Rattus norvegicus: one gene and its partners. The protein of the gene in region 5 purifies or fractionates together with the protein of the main gene of each other region. This does not show direct contact. Links are inferred from orthologs where the notes say so. Each region holds a gene or a part of one and is shown on either strand. Other genes may lie near its edges.

Region 1 (3,500 bases), on a different chromosome or scaffold from region 5:
GAGTTTTATTCATCACAGTTCAGGGTTTCTTCTTTTTGTCAAAATAATCTAATATTTTAATTGAGTTTCTCTAAATCCATTTTAGGAAAATTAAATGGCACAGATTTTATGAGATATATTGGCCTTATGTGCTCATTCAGCAATGTATATATGTATCAAAACATTAATTTTGTACCAAAACCACATATAATTATCTGTCATGAAAACTAGTAATTACATGATACCTTCTTATTGGTGTGGTAACCTTTTATTTTTCTTTGTTAAGTAACCCAACAGAAACATACCAAAATTATAAGTTTAAGTATTTATCCTTAAAATATGAAAAACTGATATATAGCGTTTTATTCTAGAAAATGTAACACTGAATTAAATATAAAATTATGATTTTTCTAATTAAAATATTTTGCAGGCCTAACTAGCAATGGTGACTCTCCTGTTGGGAAAAAGCCGAGTCTCCCTTCTCAGAAATGCAATGGTGGGTATGAGCGGTGTCTGGAAAGGAGCGTGTTGCATAGTAAGCTGCATTAATATAAACAGAGTTCGAATCGTACCGTTCATTTCAAATTAGGACATTGTTTTGTGATTGAGCTGTAAAAGAACTGACTTTTAAAAACCGATATGTTGAACAGATTGTATTCAGCCACGCTTTAGAAAAATAGCAATCATGTGTTGCTTTCTTATGTAAAATATGTGAATTGTGAATTGATTTCTGGTTTGGGAAAGATTTAAAGAAAATGTAGATGATGTGTTCATATGAGAATCCTAGTGTCTGCTGGTGTCTTGTTCAGTTCCAGGTCAGTCTCAGACCGGGCTGACTAATGCCGTTAGCTCCGATCAGGAAGCTGTGGGAAATGAAGCAGAAGGTGGTGGGGCAGGAGTAGAGCGCACCAGCAGTCTGGCTCTCCTCCGAGCCTGCTGAGGAGAAGGCTGGTTGGCGGGCTATGCGCCACACATACCCTGGCCCTCACACACTTCCAATGTCTTTGCTTCTTTTCAGCTGCCTGCCAGACTCTGTTGTCTCTTCCTGTGGATTTTAATTTGGAAGCCGTATTAGGTAAATGCTGTATGACTTGAGTATTTCATAACTAGGTCAGAGGTTTTCATTTTGTTGGCTTTTTGTGAATGGGGGTCTTGTCATTAAACAGGAAACTGTCCTAAAGTTTTTCTGTTTCTTGAATGTGACCTGAGTTGGTGTTTTTATTATGGTGACCTTTACTGTGGGCAGCAAATGATAAACATTTAAATGGTGCTGGTACAACACTGATAACAAGTCGGGCATGGTGGCACACTCCTGGCAGTCAGCAGGCTGAGACAGGTGGATTGCTACAAGTTCAAGACCAGACTGGGTTCCATAGTAAGGCCCTGACTCAAAACAATAAAAACAGCAAATAAAGAATGAAACACTCAAAAAATAAATATCATTTTAAGCATTATTCACATGTATTGAAAAAAATTCAAACCTGTTTTATGACTTTTTTAAAAATGAGTTGCTGTAAGTGTGGTTTCTTCTTCCAATGACCAGCTTTCCTTCTGTTATTGGTGAATATAGGAGACTACTTTAGAGCGGATGACTCTGTGGACCAATCTCCCGGGAACCTCAGTTCTTCGTCTCTCAGGAGAAAGCTCTTTTTAGACGTGAATGGGAGCATCTCCGACTCCTTACCTTCAGCTTCTCCCAGAAGTCCTCCCAACAGTGCCCGAGGATCTCTTGAGGTGTTTTCTCCAATGGATTTGTCTCCTTTGCACTCTAGCAACCCTGTGCAGACACCGTGTGCCATAAGATGTGGCTGGTTAGTGTGTCATAGATGTGCTTCGAGTGAATACTCAAATCACATCAGGAATGTTCCCCTTGGCATTACGTATCCTGGGAATCTTCTCAGTTTGTATGTGTGATCCCAGCAGACTCCAGCTCTGTATTTAGAGGTAGATAGGTGAGCAAATTATCTCAAAGAATCGCAGCCTGGGTTACTTACTGAATTAACAAGAGAGTAGCCGTATGACAACTGGATTAGCATTGATGGAGTAAATTAGAGGTATTTTCATAGACAACTACTTGCTATGAAATGCAGTGAATGACTTGTTTAAACCCAACTCATTTGTGTTGAAATCTTATTTCAAGAATTCTTTAGCAGCCCCATGGTGCCTTTTGTTGTTGGTTTTTGTGGACTCCGAGTTTATAAACATGTTGTGAAGACGACAAAGAACATGCCGCATAACCACGACAAAGAAATTAAATATATTCACCAATTGCTGGCTTGATTTTTATTTTTTAATTTTATTTTGTATCACAGGGACAGTTTTCTTCCAGCCCCATTCAGAACAATGCAAAAAAGTACAGTTTGGGAAGCTTAACCACCAGCCCATCGGCTATCTGTTCACCTACGTTCTCACCAATTGCACTTCAAGTAGGAAAGACACCACTGTCAGGTACTTCTCGGAATAATACACAGCTCCAATTGTGCTGCCGGCTTTTGTTGTTTAAAAAGGCTCTTTTAACAGTTACAAATGAACACTTTGCTATTCACTTGTAGAAACATTTTTTAAACAAAAGGAACAGTGTAAATCAAATGTAGGAGCTTATGCTCTACATCCTAGTACTTGGGAGGTAGAGGCAGGAGGATCATGAATTCAAGCACTGAGCTACCTAGTAAGGCTGTTGTGGTTGAGTAAGAATGGCCCTCATTGGCTCATATATTTGAATGCATAGTCATAGGGAGTGGGGTTCTTTGAATGAACCAGGATTAGGAGTTGTGGTCTTGATGGAGGTTCAAAAGCCTGTGCCAGGCCTAGTCTCTCTCCCAGGCCTGCTGATCAGGTGAACTGCTTCCTCACCATTCGCACCACCATGATGGTAACAGACTAACCCCCTGAAACTGTAAGCAGGCCCTAACAGAATGTTTTCTTCTGTAAGAGTTGCTATTACCTTGGTGTTTCTTAATAGCAGTAGAACTATGACTTAAGACAAAGACTCTGTCTCAGAAAAAAAAAAGGGATGTGCCTGAGGAACAGGGAGTCTGGTGTATTGTCCTAGAACCAACATCCATGAAGTCTCACCATCATGACTGCCTAAACATGTCCTAAACAGGGACAGCACCAATAGACATGCTAATGTGGTGAGCCCTAAAACCATTTGTATGTATGCATGCATGTATGCATGTATGTATGTAACGTAGACTGAACAGGTTATACTTACATATTTAGGAACACGCATGGATACAACACAAAACGAAGCTGTGAATTTGGAGGAAGCAGTGCTGTATAGGAGTGTTTATCAAAAGTACTGAGAAGGGGAAATTATGTTATTACAATATCAAAAACTAAAAAATGTTACATAAAATAGAATAGAATGTCAGGTTCCTCATACATATAGAACCACTCTTGACTTTATAAACAGTCAAAAAATGCCATATTTTTAAAAAGACTGGTGATGTATTTCAGTGTAGAATATGCTATATGTTGTCTATGCTGTTTGATGTGTATGTTCCATCCCTAGCACTACG
Region 2 (3,230 bases), on a different chromosome or scaffold from region 5:
TTCTAGATCTATCCATAGTGCTAGCTACTAAATTCTAAAGATGTAGTCAGTGGAGTCAGGTAAGTCAGAGACAATGGAGAGAATGTGTAGGAATGTCATCCAAGACCAGAACCAAGCGATACATGCTGATACATGAATGCCTGTGAATCCAGCACTTGAGAGGCTAAGGAAGAAGACTGTAAAAACATTCAGCTGGAGCTATACAGTGATTTCCAGGTCAACTTGAGCTGTAGTGTAAAAACTCTACAAACACATAAACAAAAAGACAGTAAGCAAAAGGGCAGTAAGTTAAATATACAGCAAATCATCATGTGTGGAATGTGCATACACAAAGGTGAAGTATAGAAAGCAAAGAGTGAAAGATGAACTTCATCCTTAAGTTGTAGGGCAATAGATGGTCTTAGAGATTGCCATGATATGACAGGTGGTTGAGAAGGTAAGTGAGAATTGAAGCATTAATTAGGAGCTCCAGAGATAGAGATCGCAAGCCAAACAATCTTCAGGTGAGGGATTGTATGACAGGATGCTGGCATCAAGAAAGATGCACTTCTACAACATCCATTCACTGACTTAACATACAATCCAGGCAACTATAATACACCAGACACTGCAAAATGACACAGTATAAAGCATGTAGCCTACTAGGGAGACACATTAAAAAGGTATTACTGAGAGTGCCATGATAAAGTCGGATCCATCTAAGAAGCAAAGCTTAAGTAATGGTATCAGACTCTGTTTTTGTTTTTTATATGTATTTCCCTCTTTAGAACTGAAACATCATCCTCTCTTCAGTGAAGTGGACTGGGAGAATCTGCAGCATCAGACTATGCCTTTCGTGCCCCAACCAGACAACGAAACAGATACATCCTACTTTGAAGCCAGGAACAATGCTCAGCATCTGACCATATCTGGGTTCAGTCTGTAGCACATGCATGCCATTTCTATCTAACTTGTGATATAGAATTTTAACACTAGATTCATCTACACGGAATAAGTCATTATTGTACCGAGGCTAAACAGTTTTAATGAGTACAACAGCTTTTACAGAGTTAAAATACTGTAAAAAATATAAACAGTAATCTCTACCTTAGAACTGTACATAAGGCATCATGGCTTTTTTCATCTTATTTATTCACTGCACTTTATGAAGAGCAATGTCTCAATAAACTAAAACAGCACTACCACTCTAAACAGAGGGGATGAACCATAAGCTTGTATGTATCTGTTGATGTTAGTTCTGTTCACTTTGGTGTTTATTTGCACATGGTTACATCCTAAGCTGTTCTCGGGGCTGTCATATGAGACAAACATGACTGAAAATCGTTTGACCCAGACATCGTGGTGGAAGTTCCCATATTCAAGAGCAGATGTAACACAGGATTATGACTGCAATTTGAAGACTCAGGCCAGCCAGGACTGTATTTCTCATCAGTATGTCTCTGCTGAGGGTGAACTAGTCAAAAGAATTAAGGTTCTAACTCATCTTACTTATGATGGAATCTCACTGCCTTGAATGCTCTTGGTGCTTCCCTCTACAATTCCTGCTTGTTTAAACGGGTAGTGGAAAGGCTGGGTGTGATACTTTAAGTGATTTTAATAGCTTCTTCACTTTTAATAGAAAAATTTATACTTTACATCAGATCCTTTCAAACACTGCGAGAGACAAATAGTAACAATTATAATTACTTGTAACTGTAACTAGTGACTTCAGTATTGGTCTTTTCAAGTATGTACTAAGACTCAGGTCAAAAGTCTTATCTCAAACTAATTGAGGCTTTTGATATTTCCCTAGAAGAGCAAAATTAAGACGTACGTGTACCATAGGGAAGGTTTTTGCTAATGCCTGCTTGCATACTGACTTTAGTGCTTCCACTGCCACCCAGTCACAGCCCAGATAGAATACAGTTTGCAAAGATGCATAATCAGTGCTGGGTATAGAGTCCTTACTGTACTTATTTTAGTAAAGACTACTTAGTGTTCCAGTTACCTTTTTTACTAAAAATATTCAAATATATTTACAGCTTCCTTTACTAAGACTCACTTTCAGGTGACAGCATAATTCTACAGTCTGTTTACTCTATCATCCTCTTAGAGTGTTTTCAAGATTAGAAAGAAACCTTTAGAATCAAAAAAATACCTAAATGACTGCTACTAAACTGAAATGATGTGGGCAGGTTAAAAGTGAGCATGAAGATGCTGGAGGGAGCAAATGCTTAGTGTGCCAAGGACCCCGTGTTCAATCCCCACCATACACAAACAGTAATTGAGGAATTAGGATAAGCAGAGCCACATTAATAAACCTGAGGTTCACAAGTCATGGCTTACCAGAGCACTGGACCCCAGCTATGGGTATTGTTAAAAGTGAGTCTGCAGAAGCAAGCCCCTAGTGGCTTCTTAAATTAAATCATTGGACAATTGGTTATAGTAAAATTAAATTCTGCTGTGGATCCTTGAGAGTTCCTGGCTTGCCTGGGTGGGGCCACATGAATATATCACTGGAATAGGAAAGTCTGTAAATGGATGGCTGAATAAACAGGGAAACATATGTAAGTATGCAGAAGAGAAGGATGGGAAGACACTATAGTTTTTGTAAAATGCTTTTTTCTACTTTCCCTGTTTTCACAGAGTGAATCATAAACACTTTGCACATTTATGTTTCATTTTCTTTTACTTGTATGTACAGAATATGATTTTAAAAAATTATTTCTCCTTTCAAGATTATTTAACCTATGTTCTAGCAGTGTTGTTTCTTTTATTGTGTGACTGAGTGAGAATGGCTCCCATAGACTCACATTTGAATACTTGGTCCCTGTTTGATGGAACTGTTTGGGAGGGATTAGGTGTGTCACTGGAGGTGAGCACTCAAGTTTCAAAAGGCTCAAGTCACTCTCAGCATGCTCTTTTAGTTTTTCAAGAAGGGTTTCTTTGTGTAGCTCTGCTTCTCCTATAGACCAGATTGGCCTCAAACTCAGAGATCTGCCTGCCTCTGAGTCTAGAGTGCTGCAAATAATATTGTGCACCATCCCTGCCTGACAAGTTTTTGTTTGTTTTTTAATGTGCAATGTGTTAGGTATTATGCCTGGATGTGTATATTTGTGAAGGTGTCAAAACTCCTGAAGCTGGATACAGACAATCGTGAGCTGCCTTGTGGATGCTATTAATTGAACCCAGGTCCTCTGGAGGAATAATAGCCAGTGCTCTTAACCACTGAGACATCTCAATAGCCCCTA
Region 3 (3,500 bases), on a different chromosome or scaffold from region 5:
AGGTCCTCTGTCGGGCAGCCATTGCTCCAGCCCCATCTTTGTCTTTTTTTTTGTTTTTTTTTTTTTTTAATAGAAATTTTTTTTCAGACTTTACATCTTTATCCCTAGTTAAAATACAGGAACTAGGCTAATGCCTCAGTATTTGACCTCTCACAGTGATTTCTCTCCATACTGATTCCCATAAAGCACAGTCCTTGCAGAAATTTGGTCCTGTGACGACAATAACCTGCACTAGTCTGTCTGTCTGTACAGTTCACTCACTAGTTCTTTAATTTTAGGCTGAAAGAATATTCTCAGAAGTTAGAAGGATTGAGAGTTTCAGAGTTGAGGGTATGGAGATCTACTCTACAACACTCTGGCATCTTCAGAAAGATGTTGCTCTTTCGGTTCTTTCAAAAGATTTAACAGACATGGATAAGAATTCACCAGAGGTATGCTAACAGCAGTCTGTTTTACTCGTTTAATTTTTGGGTGCAGTGCTGGTCTGGAACCCAGCACTGTAGGTATGCTAGGCACATAATCTTTGACCCCAACATAGCTTTTGATCACCAGAACAAATATAGTCCTGTATCACGTAATGATACATTCTGGCAAGTGCATTGTTAGGTAATTTTTTGTCATTTTTGCAAAGTGTCATAAGATATAATTACAAAACAATTGAGTTATTCACTACACAGCTAGTTTGTTACTAACTCTGGACTTCATGAGGTTGTTTCAGAAAGACTCTTCTCACACATGCCAAAAAGCCATGCTTGGTGACTCTTGGTTGTCACTCAGTTCTTGGAAGGCCTGTCCAGACAGCCAAACAGAACTTCAACCTTCAAAAAATCCAACCAGATTTTGTGTGTGGGAGCACATACATGCCATAGTGAGTATATTTGGATTTTAGGAGACAACATTTGAGAGTCCATTTTTCTTTAAATAATGTGGACTCCAAGGATTCAACTCCAGGTCATCAGGCTTGGCAGCAAGCCCTCTTACCCACTGAGTCGTTTTGCTGGCCCTTAATTGCCATTTGAAGACAGACATAGATTGATTCATATGTACTAATCTTGTAGTAAGTATTTCAGGACATTTATTTGAAGGTCTTTGTTCGTCCCTGGTGTCAGGACCTTGCTGTTTTCCCTAGGCTGTTCTTTAACTTTTGAACCTCTCATTCCCACAGCCGGAATCACAGCCACTCAGATGGTTTTTAGTGATACTTTAGTGAAGTGCACGCAAACCTGGATTCAAATTGCTGTTCTCTTCTGGCCTCTGTAAACTTCACAAGTGTACAAATTCACAGGAGGACAGATTAAATACTAATATTATTAAATACTGATATTATATCATCTTTAAGAAAATTAAAAAAAAAAAAAAACATGGCCAGTAAGATAGCTTCAATAGGTGCTAGGGAGATGGCTCTGCCGGTGAAAATTTGCTGTGCACACTGGCGCCCTGAGTCCTATTTCCAGAACACATAGTGATAGGAGAAAACCAGCTCCCTGAAACCATTCTCCTAAGCCAATTGTGATGCCACATGCTTTTAATCCCACACTCAAGAGGCAAAGGCAGGCAAATAGATCTCCAAGTTCAAAGCCATCCTGGTGTCTACTAAGTGAGTTCCAGGACAGACAAGATTACACAGAGAAACTCTATCAAAGAAAAACACTCTGCTCTAACCTGCACATGTGGAATTTGTGTATGAGTAAGAGTTTTTAAAAAGAGAAAATCATAGTCAAAAATTTGAATTTCTTCAGGGTTTTGTCCTGTAAATAAAATCTGAGACTTGATTTTGTCACAGGATTGGTTTTGTTAAAAAGTAAAATAAAAATTTGGTCAGAGAAATGGCTTAATGGGTAACAATGGTTGTGCTAACATGAGAACCTGAATTTGAATCTCCAGAACCCACATAAACGCCAGGCATAGTGTGGTTAAACTGCTGGATACCAGCACCTCTACAGGGAGGAGATGGGAAGCAGAGACAGGCAAACCCTGGCAAGCTTGCAGGCAGCTAGCCTGCTGCACACCACAGACAACACAGACCCTGACTCAAACAAGCTGGAAAGCAAGGATCCACACTCACACCACACACAGTTTTTTAGGTCAAAATTAAATTAAAATTGTAAGTTACTTTTGACGATAGTTTTCTTTATAGAGCATAAAAACTTTTAACTGACTAGTTCTTGTTTCTGTTTTGTCAGGCTTGGTGTGCTGCAGGGAATTGTTTCAGTCTACAACGGGAGCATGATATAGCAATTAAATTCTTCCAAAGAGCTATCCAGGTGGATCCAAATTATGCTTATGCCTATACTCTATTAGGACATGAATTTGTGTTAACTGAAGAACTAGATAAAGCATTAGCATGTTTTCGAAATGCTATAAGAGTAAATCCCAGACATTATAATGCATGGTAAGTAAAGAGACAAAGTCTTACTAAAGATCGTTTTATTTATTTAATTTAATTTGTGTATATTGTGTCTGTATGGGCTGTGTGGGCCACAGCAAACAGTGGAGGTTAGAAGAGCATTGCAAGCCTTTTCTCCAGGCTTGGCAACGCGCACCTTTACCCAAGGAGTGGCTCTTCTTCTTTTTATGATTTTTTTTTTTTAGGTATGCCTATTGTGCTCGTATATATGTATGTATTACGTACATCACATGCAGGCCTGGTGTCTTAGTTAGGGTTACTATTGTTGTGACAAAATTCCATTACCAAAAAGCAAATACGGAAGGAAGGGTTTATTTGACTTACACTTCCATATTGCTATTACTCCTCAGAGGAAGTCAGGACAGGAACTCAGACAGAGTAGGGCCCGGAGGTAGAAGCTGATGCTTGCCTTACGTACATGAAGCCCTGGATTCTTTCTATTCTAGAAAGTAAAGTCTAAAAATTTAGAAAAGAGACCAAGAAAAGGTACTATTAGGTAATAAGAAAGGACAAAGTTTAAGCAAAAGGATACATGAGTTAGGAAGCAGATATAAGACTTGTATTTTTCAGTTTCAACCCTACTGTAAGTTTTTTGTTGTTCTGTTTTGGATTTTGTGGTAGATGTGTTAACTCTTCCTTTGTACTGATATTCATATTCGAAGAACCATTTTTACTTTCCAAATGAATCCATGTGTTATTCCTTTGAGACAGTGATGATGAAAAGTTGGTCTTTGTTTTTTTAATTTTATGAACCATTAACCCAATAGAAACTAAACATCGCTGGTCAGTGAGTAGATTGTTGCATTCACCCAGGTAGAAAAAAAAGCCAGGTGACGGTGGCACATACCTTTAGTCTCAGCCCTGAGGAGGCAGAGGCAGGCCAGGCAAATCTCTGAGTTTGAGACCGGCCTGATCTACAGAAGGAGTTACAGGACAGCCAGGGCTACACAGAGAAAACCCTGTCTTAAAAAACAAAACAAAAAATGTTCAGGAAGAAGAGTTTTTCTAACCTGCAATCCCCACCCCATTTTTTTCTTTTGTTTAAACCACCCTATATGGTGTTTTATTTAATATGTAAATTATATTGCTATAT
Region 4 (3,500 bases), on a different chromosome or scaffold from region 5:
GGTGCTCGCTTCTGGCCGCAGCTGCATCAGGCGGGCCCCGCAGCCGGGATGCAGCGGGCGTCCGGGGCTGGCGGGCAGCGCAGCGGCTCCCGGGACATGTGCGCTGGTCCAGACAGCCCGCGACCATGAGCCTGACCGCCCGCGTCTCCTGCTCCATGCTTAGCTGCTTCGTAAGTGCCAGGCCTGTCCTGCCAGGGCCTGGGGCGGGGGTTGGGGGAGCACCCAACGCACGCTGTACCCACAGTCCTGCCCAAAGACCCCGGCATGACCCCAAACCTTAGGGACAGGGGAAGTGGGTTAGCTCTTTTCTCTGACTTGCTTCAAGAAAGCGGGTACTGGGGATGCAAATTCTGTGATTCTTTCTGACTCTGCAGTCACTGCCCTTGACTGCAGATTTCCAGGCCCCGCCCTGCAGGGGTACATCCCATTACCTCCTCCTCTCCATCTTGGTCCCACCCGCCATATCCTTGCTTGGGGATGTAGGATGTGCCTAGTAGGCTGTGTGGGATGTTATGGGGCTGAAAGAGAAGCTTAGATGTTTGTGAGCTGTCTCTAGGTCTCCAGTCCCCTCTCCCACACATACTCCATCGTTCACCTGACATACCAGTCTTTTCTCCTTGACTGTCCCCCAGACAGCCTCTTTTCTCCATCTTCCTTGCCTCTGCAGGGTTCTGTATCTCTGAATCATCCCCAGTCTTCCCCTCCTCCCCCTGGCTAATGCTCCTTCCCAGCTTCCCCCATCTGTCCTCTCAGATGTCGTGCCCCCCCCTCCCCCGTAGGTGTCTGCCAGGCCTTCTCTCTCCCCTGGCTGTCCTTGGGTCTCCTGCTTCCTCCCTGAGCATGGATTCTCTCTTTTCTTCTCTCTTGGTGTTTGGGAGCAGAGTGACTTCAGCTAGCTATGGGTATTCCTTAGGAATTCCCCTCAGATCAGCAGGCGGGGCAGGTTGCTTGACAGGTAGTGGGGGCTTATCAGCATCGAGAGCCCAATGGGAAGATCAGCTCAGCTCCAAAACACGTCTTCCTTTTTGAAGGCATTCACAAAGGCCCTCTAGAGGCATGGGACCGAATCCCCCCAACCTCCTCCTCTTTGTCTCCACCCACCAGGTTGATGCTCGAGAGGCTAGAAGGGCCTGATTTCCTTTCTCTCTATCCAGCTACCACAGCTGGCTCCTGTGCCTCAGGTGTCTCTTTCCCAGTCCTGCTCTTGTCTTATTCTGATAGGAGTCTTTCTTAGTTCCCTTCCTTCCTTGGGTTTTTGCAGTTTTGGTTCAAAGGAGAAGTCTCTTTAAATGGAGCAAATTCTCAGTTCCTTCTTGGCTTAGCTCACTTTTCCCTGAGTACCACTTTATTTCACCCTTTCTCCTGCCAAGCCAGGTCTTCCTTCCCTCCTCTAGGAGCCAGAATCGTTAAACACAAAGGAAGGTGTTGGTGGGTTTGTTGGTAGAGGAGGAGAGTGAGAGGAGCCAGGTCGGGTGGCAAACTCAAGGTTATGGCCTCCCTGCAGGGTGAGGAGGGCCCCCCCAGCCTGGAGTACATCCAAGCCAAGGATCTGTTCCCCCCCAAGGAACTGGTGAAGGAGGAGGAAAATCTTCAGGTAAGGAGGAACAGGATGCTCATGGTGGGAGGGGCTTCCTGCCCAGTTTGTGTTCCAGACTTTCAAATCTTTAGAGGATATACCAGAGCCCCGGCTTCCTCCTGGGCCTCTGAAGGGAGTGGGCTCCTGTGTTCGTCAGTCTGTGCATTATGTGCCTTTGGCCTTAGGGAAGGGGAGAGGCAGTTTTCCTGGACAGCAGATGACCAGCGTCCTGACTTGACTCCTGCATCATCTCCCTTTTCCTCAGGGTCTGCTAAAGAACAGGGCTGCAGAGAAAAACAAGGGAGAGACTGTCTTGTGGGCTGAGGGCTTCTCTGACCTTTTTCAGGTACCCTTCACAGTGCTACAGGGTGAGGGAGTGGAATTCCTGGGCCGGGCAGCTGATGCCCTCATTGCAATCTCCAACTACCGGCTGCATATCAAGTTCAAAGACTCTGTCATCAACGTAAGTTCTTGTCTTATTTTCCTCACACCAAAGTCAAAGTCCTCATGTACTTCAAAGTGGTATTGTTCCAGTGCTTGACCAGATTATGACTTGAAAAATAGTTGGGATTCCCTTCCCATTGGCCTCGGTATTTCTTATCTCATTCCTCTGTGTACAGGTTTACCTGTCTCTTAGGACAGGGTTTCTCTGTGTAGCCTTGGTTGTCCTGGCACTCCCCCCTGTAGACCAGGCTGGCCTCAAACTCAGAGATTTACCTACCTCTGTCTCCCCAGTGCTGGAACTAAAGGTGTGTGAACCCCTGCCTAGCTTGTTTATTCTGATTGTATGTTTGTTAGTGTCTATCTGTCTGTCTGTCTATGTACCATATTCGTGCCTTTGCCTGAGGAGACCAGATGACTAAACTGAAGTTACAAGAGGTTGTGACAAGCATGTGGGTGCTGGGAACTAAACCTAGATCCTCTGCAAGAGCAGCCAGTGCTCCTAACCTTTGAGCCACAGTGGCATTATCTATTAGAAGAGCCAGGCAGATGTGACCCTTTTTCTTGCACTGTCACTCTGTGTTACCTTGGACAAGTGATGATGTCCTCCTTATTGAATAAAATCTCCTGCCTTCAGGATTCTTATGGTATTAACTGGTGACATGGGAAGCACCCGGTAGGGTCACCATGCCCTAGCAGACCCTCAGTAGATGCTGGCTTCCTTCCCTTCATTGGCTCGACACCTCTCAGGCTGGGGGCCCCTGGACCTCACTTTGCTCTTCCTCTGCAGGTGCCCCTCCGTATGATTGACAGTGTGGAAAGCCGTGATATGTTTCAGTTGCACATTGCCTGCAAGGACTCTAAAGTGGTGAGGTGAGCACGGGGGGGCCTTGTTCTTGTTCTCTGACTCTCATCTTGTGCAGACCTCTCTGCTGTAGGGTACCCTTGGAGTAAGAGGACCAACTCCACTTTCCGTTCCCTATTGGGGGAAAAGTGACATCTCACTTCTCTGTTCTTAGTCGGGAGGTCACTTTGCTAACCCATTTTGACTTGAACTAAAATGGGGATGGAGCCATTGTGAGGACTACTTGAGGTAATGAGTATGAGCCCCTGGGTTAGTGTTAAGCACAGTGCTCTCACGTAAGTTATGTCAGTTTATTGAGCAATTTGCACCACAGTTTATGTACTGCAGCTCCATCCAAGAACTCACAGACAAAAACTCCTGCCCTAAAGGAGCCTATACTCCAGCGGGGAGGCTCTGCAGTAAATACGGGAAATACTTTAAATGATAAGTGTAAAATTCAAAGTAAAATCAAGAAAAGTTTTAGCAGGTTCTAGCTTTAACCAGCTGACTGGAGATAAAGGGTGACTGGACTAGCTTTAACCAGCTGACTGGAGATAAAGGGTGGCTGGAGTCAGGATCTGAGGAACGTGACCAAGCTGGTATCTGAGGGAAAGGTGTGCTGAAGGGCTATGAGGAGTG
Region 5 (3,500 bases):
CTGCTCTACCTTCCAAGAGCTGAGATTACAGGCATGTGCCTGCCACCAGGCTGGCTTTCTGGTGTACTAGCAAGCACTCTACCAGAGCCCCGTGCCCAGCCCATGTCTTTAGACTTCCTGAGGGGGATGTAAAGAGCAGGGGGAGAGGGGGCAAACACTCTTACACCTGGAACACGCACCATCTCCATCCAGCTGTGCTGCGCCTAACAAAGGAGTTGGTCTTACTCTCATGAACCAGGCTCTGCGTCTGCAAAGTGGGAGTTTCCCCAAGAGCTTCCCAATGACAGAGCAGCATCCCTTTTCACATCCAGTGTCATAAATCCACTTGCAGGGATAGCTCATTTCTGGGGACTGGTTCTCATAGGCACTTTAAAGTCAGCATCCTTGACTTGTACATAGAGAAGATGTCACAGAAGGTCAGCTCACTGCAGACAGCATGGACTGCTGTGGTATAATTGGTCCTGGCTTTCTTACTGAGGCAATGTGTATTCTCAGACAGGGCACTCCTGTTTCCTCATCTATAAGTGAGGCCTAATAGTGGAGATGTACACACCTGTAGTCCTAGCACTTGGAAGGCTGAGGCAGGAGGATTGCAAGTTCCAGATAGCCTTAGCTATATAGTGAGACCCTGTTTCCTTTCTAATTATATAGAGAGGGAAAGGGAGGAGAGAATCTTTTAGGTGTTTTTGTGAGGGCCAAATGGGTACTGTACAGGAGTGCATAAGCAAGAATTAATGCTGTGAGGGACAGGCCCGTGTTAGGTTTTTTCTCATTAAGTCATCCTGGAGGGGTTCCCCATTTTATAGGTCTGCCTTGTTAGGCTTCAGAAAGCCCAGGTTATTTGTTATAGGTGGAATCAAGGGGGTGGAACTAGGCAGGTCTTGGGACCTGGGTGCCCTCTTGTAGATAACTTAATGTCCTTTGAAAGGGCAAGGGGTGGGTATCCCAGGTTAATCTTGAGTGCCAAGTGGCAAGAAATGATCCTTCTTATCAATATTGCTAAGGCTGGGTGGAGGACTTGGTGGAACTCAGGGCCACTGAGCAGTGGTATGTTATACACAGGAGCAGCCGCATGCTGGCTAGGGTCCCTGTCTCCTCTCATTTCGGCTCTGCCTCTCCATTCCAGCACATCAACCCAGTGGCTGCCTCCCTCATCCAGAAAATGCTTCAGACAGACCCCACTGCCCGCCCCACCATTCACGAGTTGCTCAATGACGAGTTCTTCACTTCCGGCTACATCCCCGCCCGTCTGCCTATTACCTGCCTCACCATCCCACCAAGGTTTTCAATAGCTCCCAGCAGCCTAGACCCCAGCAACAGGAAGCCTCTCACAGTCCTTAATAAAGGTAAGATCAGTCCGGGCAGAAGAGAGCCCAGGTTTCCGGGGTACATTTCAGGGTGTGTGTGCCTTACTGCCTCATCCCTCCCCTGGGCCCTTCTGCCCTCCGCCCTTGGCAGGAAAAACCAACTGAATCAACCTATGTAAAGAGTACCTAAGATCTCCCTTGCACAGTTTGGAGAAAGCTGGAAGTTTTCTGGTGCATACATGGAGCATGCCGTGGTACCTATCCTCAGTTCTCATTCTCAGCATGCCCAACCCTGGTCACTCCAAGCACCCTTTGTTCTCTGAGTGTTTGTGCTTTGTCAAGAAAAGGTCTTTCTGTCACCCAGGCTGCTCTTGAAATCAGTCCTCCTGTCTAGGGCCCTGCTGACTACAGAATTGCAGGTTTGTATCAGCTCATCTCACTTTGGAAAAGTCGAGACAGCCAACTCCAGGAGTCTGCCATTTTACTCTTGTACTAAAGTATGCATCTTTCCTCAAAACTCCAGCATCCCTTGCCCCTGCTTGGATAGCTTTTGTGTCTAGAGCTCTTTAGAGATCAGAGTCTTTCTGATTCATATTCTAATATTCATCATTGTCCACACTTATAAAAAGGTAGAGGGACAAATGCTCTCCCAGTCTGCTTACATTCTGTTGATGCATCATCAGCCCTATGTGTTTCTTTAACTGCTTGAGAGCGAGCTTTCCTCGAGGAAAGCGTCTGCGCGCTGTGACAGACACCAGCATCAGCTTCAGGACTGAGCATTCATCTCACAGTGCTGTAAAGGTTCTTTTTTTCTTGTTCTTTTCTCTCTTTTTGTTTTGTTTCCTTTTTTTTTCCTTTTTGGAAACAAGGCTTCACTATATAACCCAGGCTGGCCTCCAACTCAGGAGATCCACCTGCCTCTGCCTTCCAAGTGCTAAGAGCAAAGGTGTGAGTGAGCCACCTTGCCTGGCAGCAGTGTTTGCTTTTCTGTTTTTTACTGTCCCTCCCTCCTCCTCTTTTTTTGAGACAGACTATCACCATGCTGACTCGGGTTTGAAATCCCCCTGCCTTACCCTCCACAGTGCTGGGCTTGGGACTGTGCCACTGTATTCATCATCATCATCATCATCATCATCATCATCATGTAGTCTTATTTTTTTGATTTATTTATTTATTTTATGTATGTGAGTACACTGTCAGACACACCAGAAGGGGGCATCAGATCCCATTACAGATGGTTGTGAGTCACCATGTGGGTGCTGGGAATTGAACTCAGGACCCCTGGAAGAGCAGTCAGGTTCTTAACTGCTGAGCCGTCTCTCCAGCCCATGTAGTCTTATTTCTCGTTAATATATTTTATTAAGAGCTATGGTCTTTGAGAGGTAGCTTGTAGGCTTTGTTCTCTGTGGAGTTAGTTATAAAACTAGTGTTTAGTATAAAATTCTCAGTGCATCTGTTTCGGTTAGATTTCCATTTTTAGGCAAGAGGCTAGGGTGGCTTAGTTTTGTTTTTGGTGCTTTGAGACAGGTGCTGGGATTTCAAATGAGTGCTTCATACCTGACTCAATTACTTGGTTTATTTTGCAGTAATGCTAGGGTTATACAAAAGTTTAAAAGACAAAATAAAGCTAAATTCCTGTGTACCCTCCACCCAGCTTCTTCCACAGTCAGCATCTCTCTTTAAGCATAGCAGAATTACCAAAACTGAAGTGTTAGCTACAAGATAATCCTGTCAACAAAGCCCAGGCCCCACATCGATCAACCAGATTTCCCATTACATCACCAGAATACAAGTCAGTACCTCACGGGCCAGTTAGTGACCTTGGCTCCCTAGTTTCCTCCAGCCTGTGACAGTCTCTGAGTTTTTCCTTTTGTCTTGTGACCTTGATTGACACTTTTGGCACTGATGAGTTGATTTCCATTGGATTTGATGCTTCCTCAGGATTGCACTGAGGTTCTGCATTCTGAGCAAGAATGCTGTGAAGGGTTTGCTCTTTTCAGTGTCAGGGAGACAAGGCTGTCTCTGCTGCAGACACTGTTGCCTTGGTAACTAATAAGAATCTTGCAGGAAGGTGTTTGAAACTGTAGGAGTTCATCTAATTGTTGCCCACCGGTTTTAGTGGTAGCCATTACTGTAATTTTTATTTTTTTCCCTTTTTGAGACAGCGTTTCATGTGGCCCAAGCTGCTTGGAT
Region 6 (3,500 bases), on a different chromosome or scaffold from region 5:
TGCTGAGCTCGGAGCAGAATGGAAATTGTACAAAGATCATCTCAAAAGGGGCCAAAGACTTTGATGTGAGGCCCGAAGGCTTGAAACTTAAAGATACAGGCGCTGTTTTCTGAAGAAAACTCCAATGGCTCAGGAAGTCATACCAAGAACTGATAAGCGGCACCGCATGAAACAAAGACCCAAAGGAAACAAATGCTGCAAACCAGTGGTTCTCAACCTTCCTAACGCTGTGACCTTTAACACAGCTTCCTCATGGTGTGGTGACAACCCAACCATAAAATTACTTTGTTGCTACTTTGTAACTGCAATCTTGCTATTATGAATCGTAACGTATCTGATATGCAGGGGGACCTGATAGGAGAGCCCAATGGGGGTGCCGACCCACAGGTTGAGAACCATCAGAACCACCGTTGAAGAGGAAGCCCACAGAATGGCAGAGAATCTTTGCGGGCTGCAGAATGGACAGGTAGTTAACAATATGCAGCACATATAAAAGGCCCGTGTACAAGTGTGGTCTCATAGCCAGGACACTGAGTCAAAGGTCAGAGCCAGTAAACTCAGTGGGGTTTAAAACAAAGACAGGGGAGGGGGGTTGAAGAGGAGAAGGGGGAGGGGTTGAGAGAGTTGAGAGTCATGGGGTTAAAAAAAAAATGACCTAAATTCAATATATTCATGTTTGAAATTATCAAGGAATACTTTTTGTCAAAGCTTGGCAGGGTTTAGTGACAAACGAATTAACATTAAAAAACAAAACAAAAACCCCTAAAGCCAGAAAAAAAAAAAAATCACTGAAATATTTGCAATTCAATTAAAGCAGACTTGGAGAAAATCCAGATAAAACTCGCCCGTGCTGTCCGTATCCACGTGTGTGAACTTACTTACTCCTGTTACTAGAAATAGGGTCGGCAGCAAATATATTTCTCTAGCATTTCTGCTTACATTCCTTTAAACGTGGATGCTAAAAATTTAAAAGCAAAACGAAGGCCAGCTCTTCCTCTCCGGGGCAAGCAGGGCATTCAATCTTGCACACACCCTACCGTGAGCAAGTGCTTTAACTCCATGGTGTTCCTCACAGTCCGAGTGATGTTTAAGCTTCCCCCTTCTAGAACGCGTAAGATCTAATTTAACATGCCTGCAAGTGCACTGTATACACCACATACATGGCGGCCATCTGGCCGGAAGCCAAGAGGGCACTGGGTTCCCCGGTGTATGTGTGTGAGAGTGGGGGTGGGGGATGGGTGAGAGCGGGGCAGGGGATGTGAGCAAACCTCTCATCGTCCATCTCCAAGCTGGACTCGCTCTCGGAGAGCTGGCGACACAGGGCTTCCCTTCTCTCCATCTCCCTCTGGAGCTTCCGCTGCAGACGCAGGTTCTCTTCCCTCATGTGCCGCTCCTCCTCCAAGTACTGGGCCATCTTCTCCGAATCTGGAAAGACAGAGCCTGCGATTAAACTGTGTTTCGCGCAGTCATCACCCCACATTGGGGTGGCCTTGTCCTACCACGTGAGACCGAGGTTTAAAATTTAGCCTGAGCATCAAGGTTTATAAGTTACATTCAGTTATGGATAATCTAACGGGCAGGGCACCCATTCACAGGACAGCGGCTCCACAGGGGCTCCAGGGCCCACACAGGAAACGGGGCTGGAGCGTTTCACTGACTACCTTGTAAGACTCCCTTCTCCACTGTGGGGGCTGAGAGAAAGCAAGAACAGTTAGGGAGATAGATTGCCCACTGGTTTCCCTCTAGGCCGCCTGTCCACTCTAAACAGGCCACGGGGGGGGGGTTGTCACCCCATTAGCACATCTACCATGCACAGCGGGGCAACTCTGAGATCAGTGTGTCAGCAGAATACACTCAGTTACGGATAAGTCTTGTAAAACAGAACTTTACACAGTGAGCAAAACCTCTTTCCCTCACCGACTGTACATAAGCCGTGTGTGTGTGTGTGTGTGTGTGTGTGTGTGTGTGTGTGTGTGTGTGTGTGAGAGAGAGAGAGAGAGAGAGAGAGAGAGAGAGGGAGAGGGAGAGAGGGAGAGAGGGAGAGAGAGGGAGAGAGAGGGAGAGAGAGGGAGAGAGAGGGAGAGAGAGGGAGAGAGAGGGAGAGAGAGGGAGAGGGAGAGGGAGAGGGAGAGAGAGAGAGAGAGAGAGAGAGAGAGAGAGAGAGAACACAACCTCTGGGAATGGCTTCCATCACTTGGGCTCTGGGGATCAAACTCAGGTCGCCTCTACTCACTGAGCCATCCTGCCTGCCCAATGACTTCTGATGACATTGACACTAATGTACAATGCCCAGGGAGGCAGGCGGACTTCCGATCCTTCGAGCTGACAGGACAGCGGTTGGGAACTGAAGGGAGATCCTCCGTGTGAGCACTGAAATAGACTTAACCACTGGACTGTCTCTTCAACCCGAACTCTGTTTTGGAAATTAAAATGCTCGGATTATCGGACCCTACTATGTAGACGAAATACTAAACCTCTTGGCTGGGTTGAATGCAGCCTGAGACCGCGCTGCCTAATCCACATGCAAGGTCTTCTTAATTGAAGCGACGGGGGTGGGGATGCACACAAAGCTCGCTTTTAATATGAACAGCTTAAATTAAGTCTCCCCAAGTGTGCCTGTGTGCATGGGTGCTCATCGGGCTCAGGAGGAAGCACCCGGTGGCTCTGGGCATACCTACTGTTGACCAGTCAGCGGCTACAGCAAGAGTCCCCAGAACCGAAGATCCCAAAGGCTCCGCATTGTATTTTCAGAGAAAACTGCAGTTCAAACTGCACATGGGACACCTGCCTATGTTCCCAGCACCTGTGAGACCCTGTCTCCAACAAAGATACACTGTAACAAAAATACATCATCAGCTATGATAACTTCCGGATAAGATGTCAGGCCAGGTAGAACTGTCAACGTATCACTCTAACCCAGATACACCAGAACCCCAGTGCACCTACAGTGTCCCGACCCAAGCATAGGAGGCTGGCACCAAGGCCTCCCTTGGGCGCCCTCTGCTGGTACACTGTGACCCTTCTCTCTAACAGCTCCTCAGAGATCTCATCACTCTTATATTCTGCTACCTCCCGAAATTTAAGCAAAGGTGCCATCCGTAAGGGTGGCATCAAACCAGCTTCAGGTGACCTCTCACAAGCAGGCTGTTCCCTATCCTCTTCCCAGGTACAGACCACATGGGGACTGAGACCCACGGCCGACTGAAAAGCTCAACAGGGAACTCCTAAGAGGTTCCAGTCGGGGCTGGAGGCTGAGGAGCTGTCACAGATACACCCGTAGAGGAGCAGGCCACCTGAGACATGAAGCTGGAGACCCACGGACGACAGGACGAATCATTAACACAGCTTCCTCAACCTATAGGTAGAGACCTCTTTAGGGGTTGAATGATCCTTTCACAGGGTCATTGAAGACTGTCAGAAAACATGTGTTTCCGCTAAGATTCACAACAGTAGCAAACTTACAGTTATGAAGTAGCAGCGAAAAGAATTTATCCGGGTGT
Region 7 (3,500 bases), on a different chromosome or scaffold from region 5:
GAGGAGTAATTTAGCTTTGATTATTTAGTATCCAATTTGGCTTATCTGCCTTTACAGATAAAATGTATTCTGGAGCATAAGAATTATGTGGTTATCTCTCTGTGTGTGTGTGTGTGTGTGTGTGTGTGTGTGTGTGTGTGTGTATGTGTGTGTGTATGCACGCGCCTGAGTATATGTATGGCCACCTTATGCATACAGATGCCTTCAGAGGCCAGAAAAGCTGTTGGATCTTCTGCAGTTGGAGTTACAGATGGTTGTGAAGCCATCTAGTGTGGGTGCAGGAGCAGCCAGTGCTATTAGCTGAGAACCCTCTCTCTAGCCCCAACGGGTATTTTCTTTCGGGAGTGTATGGATTATATATACACAGTATACATACATACATACATACATACATACATACATACATACATATGTATGATTATTATTATTTTTTAAGAGGGACTTGAGTGCTCAATTCAATTCTTTGTTTGGATTAAGGAGAGTAGAAATACACCAGTCATCTAAATGTTGAATAGGCACTCACACACACACACACACACACACCCCCTATATGTGTGTATATGTGTGCTTAGATTTGTTGTTTTTTAGGATGCTCTGTAAACCTATGTAAAAGGGGAAACACCTTTTAAGGGGTTTTTTACATTTATTTTTATAAAACTTTCAGTTAATAACCTCCTTTTAGGTGCTTACGTGATTCTATTATTGAATTCGGTTTGAGATTCTCGCATGCTGCATCTTTTTATAGGAAAACATTTGTGGAATAAATTACACAACTAAATTTTTTGCCATTGACTAGGTATTTTGCCAGCCCCCATTACTCAGCAAGCCAGTATGACATCGCTGGCACAGGGACCTGGAACCACATCAGCCATTACTTTCCCAGAGGAGCAAGAAGATCCTAGAATTAGCAGAGGCCAGGATGACGCACCTGCTGGAGGGATCTGGGGTTTTATTAAGGTAAGGGTGCTTGCTTTTCAAGCTGCTGTGCAAACGGTAGAGAGACTTCTGAGAACACAGAATAGAGCAAGGGGAAGAAGCCCTTTATGGCCGGATTCTGTAGTTCCTCTTGTCGTTTGTCTGTGTTTGTACATTTGTCTCTGTGTGTCCGTTTGTCTGTGCATGTCTGTATACATGTACTTATTCTCTTACTAAGACTCCAGTTGGATTAGGGACATGGTCATTGTATTCCTTGTCTTAATGAAGTTCTTCTTTGAATTAATGAAGACTAGAAGACTTTATTAATGTCTTCCAAGCTGTAAAATTGTCTGACTGACTGACTGACTGACTTTGTTTCTTGAGCGTTCAGAGTCTGCTTATGTTTGAGTGGGGTGCATTCGTGCAGGTGTATGTGTGTGCGTGTGAATGAATGTGGAGGCCAACTGAAGGGTCTTCCTCTGTTCCTCACGTTATTTTTGGTTCAGGGTCTGTCGTTCAATTTGGAATTTGTCAGTCAGCGAGGCTGGCTTGCCAGTGAGCTGCAAGGTGCCCTCATGTGTATCCCACTCAAGTGCCAGGGCTTGAGACCTGTGCTGCAGTGCTCTGCCTTTTATCTGGGTGCTGTTGATCTGAGCCCAGGTCCTCGTGCTTCAGTGAGGTTTACCATTGAATCAGCCCCCCAGCGCTAACAGTCGTTCGTTAGAATATAGTTTCTTCATAACTACTTTTGTAGCTATTGCATTTGTCATGTTTTATTTTACAAATCTGTTATCAGTATCATCCGGTTATAAGTTTTAAAATCACTTTAATGAGAAAAATGTGTAAACATTCCATATTTTTTATTGTTTTTGGTGGTATTGAGGATTGGACCCAGAGCCTTATATACACTGATAAACACTTTATTTCTCAGCCTGAGCCCTGGGTCTCTACTTTGATTTTTGATAGAGTCTCATCCAGTTGCCTAGGTCAGTCTGGCATTCACTCAGTATCCCAGGCTGGCCCGAAGCTTACAGTCCTCCTCCTGCTGCCAGGCTTGTGACAGGGATCACAGGCCTGCATCATCAGCCTGGCTAACACGATGTCTCCATTGGACTCTGTAATGATCCCTTAGGATTTTAATCCTGAGACATAAACTGATGAGCACTGTCGTGCGTACGCCTGGACGGGCTTCACTGGCATCACGAGTTCCTGATGAACGTCCAGTGTGTGCCCTCGAACTTCCTGTTGCTTCCCAGTGGCCACACTACCCTGTGGGGTTCTGCATTCTCCACTTCCTGGTGTAGCAAAGGATGTTAGTGTGAAGTACAATGTTTATTTTCCTGATTTAATAGACGAAATCATTTGAAACTGTGTGTGTGTGTGTGTGTGTGTGTGTGTGTGTGTGTGACAGAGAGAGAGAGAGAGAGAGACAGAGACACAGAGAGACACAGAGAGACCCACAGAGACACAGAGAGAGACACAGAGAGACCCACAGAGACACAGAGAGAGACACAGAGAGAGACACAGAGAGAGACAGAGAACACACATACATACGTGTATTGCACGTGTGTGGAGGCCTAGGGTTGACACAGAGTATCTTCTGTGACTGGTCTCCACCTAGTACTGAAGTCAGGTTTGCTGCACCCGAGCTTTGGTTGGGACCAATCTGGCTGGTCAGCTTGCCCTGCCTCTCCCTCCTGGGCCTTGGGATTGCATGTGGCCACCACACCCACTCAGTTTTTATGTGGGTTCTGGGGATCCCAGCTCTGGTCCTCATATGTGTGATGCAAGGACTTTAGCTGACAAGCCAGCCCCTAACCTTGAAGCCATATTTTAATTTTTGCTTCTTAGCTATTAAATTTGGTCCCTCCGTGAAATTTTGTTTTATGTGGTCTGTGTTTATCTTTGCTCAGTTTAAAGTTGGGAGGAAGATTTGCTTTTCTGGCTTTGTTACGAGCTCTGACTGAAGCAGTACTCTTTTATGATAGACACAGTATAACTTTTTCCATTTAAATCTACATTTTGATTTTATTATACTTTTTCAACACACAAGTTCTTAAATGTTCAGAAGCCATTTCTGTGAATCTCTTTCAGTTCTACATGCTGAAAGACAGCATTTTCATGCTGAAAGACGACGTTTTCATTCCATCTATTGCTGCGACAAAACACTATGACCAAAAATCAATTGGGGGGGGGTGTTATTTGGCTTATACTTCCAGATCACAGTCCATTAATGGAGGAAGTCGAGATAGGAACTCAAACAGGGATGGAACCTGGAGGCAGGAGCTGATACAGAGGAGTGCTGCTTACTGGCCTGCTCATCTTGTCTTGCTCAGTCTGGTTTCTTACAGAAACCAGGACCAGCAGCCCTGGGATTGCGCCACCTACTATGGGCTGGGCCCTCCTCCACTAATTGGGAAAATGCCTTACAGTTGGATCTCATGGAGGCATTTCCTTAACTGATGCTCCTTCCTCTCTGATGACTCTAGCTTGTCTTAAGTTGACACACAAAACCTGAGGGAGAATGGTTCCTTTTTAGCTGTGGCCACTGGTAAGTTTCCTGTGCTCTGGCGGATGTCCACATC

Evidence for each region.
Region 1: the proteins of Plk1 (region 5) and Bora purify together in Homo sapiens (affinity purification with mass spectrometry; 12 studies listed by BioGRID and IntAct, counting the BioPlex papers as one, with this or other methods). This does not show direct contact. The link is inferred for Rattus norvegicus from reciprocal best matches to the Homo sapiens genes PLK1 and BORA.
Region 2: the proteins of Plk1 (region 5) and Mastl purify together in Homo sapiens (affinity purification with mass spectrometry; 3 studies listed by BioGRID and IntAct, with this or other methods). This does not show direct contact. The link is inferred for Rattus norvegicus from reciprocal best matches to the Homo sapiens genes PLK1 and MASTL.
Region 3: the proteins of Plk1 (region 5) and Cdc27 purify together in Homo sapiens (affinity purification with mass spectrometry; 4 studies listed by BioGRID and IntAct, with this or other methods). This does not show direct contact. The link is inferred for Rattus norvegicus from reciprocal best matches to the Homo sapiens genes PLK1 and CDC27.
Region 4: the proteins of Plk1 (region 5) and Mtmr4 purify together in Homo sapiens (affinity purification with mass spectrometry; 3 studies listed by BioGRID, with this or other methods). This does not show direct contact. The link is inferred for Rattus norvegicus from reciprocal best matches to the Homo sapiens genes PLK1 and MTMR4.
Region 6: the proteins of Plk1 (region 5) and Ccdc6 purify together in Homo sapiens (affinity purification with mass spectrometry; 3 studies listed by BioGRID and IntAct, with this or other methods). This does not show direct contact. The link is inferred for Rattus norvegicus from reciprocal best matches to the Homo sapiens genes PLK1 and CCDC6.
Region 7: the proteins of Plk1 (region 5) and Prrc1 purify together in Homo sapiens (affinity purification with mass spectrometry; 3 studies listed by BioGRID and IntAct, counting the BioPlex papers as one, with this or other methods). This does not show direct contact. The link is inferred for Rattus norvegicus from reciprocal best matches to the Homo sapiens genes PLK1 and PRRC1.

Annotation. Positions count from the first base shown.
Region 1 is NC_086033.1:82,219,220-82,222,719, forward strand, and holds part of Bora (protein aurora borealis), read left to right. Parts: intron 1-409; coding exon 410-475; intron 476-997; coding exon 998-1,054; intron 1,055-1,549; coding exon 1,550-1,713; exon of another isoform or gene 1,714-1,781; coding exon of another isoform or gene 1,782-1,790; intron 1,791-2,291; coding exon 2,292-2,427; intron 2,428-3,500. UniProt on the Homo sapiens protein: Required for the activation of AURKA at the onset of mitosis.
Region 2 is NC_086035.1:90,158,092-90,161,321, reverse strand, and holds the end of Mastl (serine/threonine-protein kinase greatwall), read left to right. Parts: intron 1-767; coding exon 768-925; 3' UTR 926-2,730; downstream 2,731-3,230. UniProt on the Homo sapiens protein: Serine/threonine kinase that plays a key role in M phase by acting as a regulator of mitosis entry and maintenance.
Region 3 is NC_086028.1:89,911,771-89,915,270, reverse strand, and holds part of Cdc27 (cell division cycle protein 27 homolog), read left to right. Parts: intron 1-278; coding exon 279-431; intron 432-2,183; coding exon 2,184-2,392; intron 2,393-3,500. UniProt on the Homo sapiens protein: Component of the anaphase promoting complex/cyclosome (APC/C), a cell cycle-regulated E3 ubiquitin ligase that controls progression through mitosis and the G1 phase of the cell cycle.
Region 4 is NC_086028.1:72,893,665-72,897,164, forward strand, and holds part of Mtmr4 (myotubularin-related protein 4), read left to right. Parts: intron 1-1,504; coding exon 1,505-1,594; intron 1,595-1,922; coding exon 1,923-2,039; intron 2,040-2,807; coding exon 2,808-2,890; intron 2,891-3,500. UniProt on the Homo sapiens protein: Lipid phosphatase that specifically dephosphorylates the D-3 position of phosphatidylinositol 3-phosphate and phosphatidylinositol 3,5-bisphosphate, generating phosphatidylinositol and phosphatidylinositol 5-phosphate.
Region 5 is NC_086019.1:186,150,658-186,154,157, forward strand, and holds part of Plk1 (serine/threonine-protein kinase PLK1), read left to right. Parts: intron 1-1,126; coding exon 1,127-1,346; intron 1,347-2,457; exon of another isoform or gene 2,458-3,500. UniProt on the Homo sapiens protein: Serine/threonine-protein kinase that performs several important functions throughout M phase of the cell cycle, including the regulation of centrosome maturation and spindle assembly, the removal of cohesins from chromosome arms, the inactivation of anaphase-promoting complex/cyclosome (APC/C) inhibitors, and the regulation of mitotic exit and cytokinesis.
Region 6 is NC_086038.1:18,447,228-18,450,727, forward strand, and holds part of Ccdc6 (coiled-coil domain containing 6), read right to left. Parts: intron 1,426-3,500; coding exon 1,269-1,425; intron 1-1,268.
Region 7 is NC_086036.1:53,024,123-53,027,622, forward strand, and holds part of Prrc1 (protein PRRC1), read left to right. Parts: intron 1-796; coding exon 797-957; intron 958-3,500. UniProt on the Homo sapiens protein: May act as a regulator of the protein kinase A (PKA) activity during embryonic development.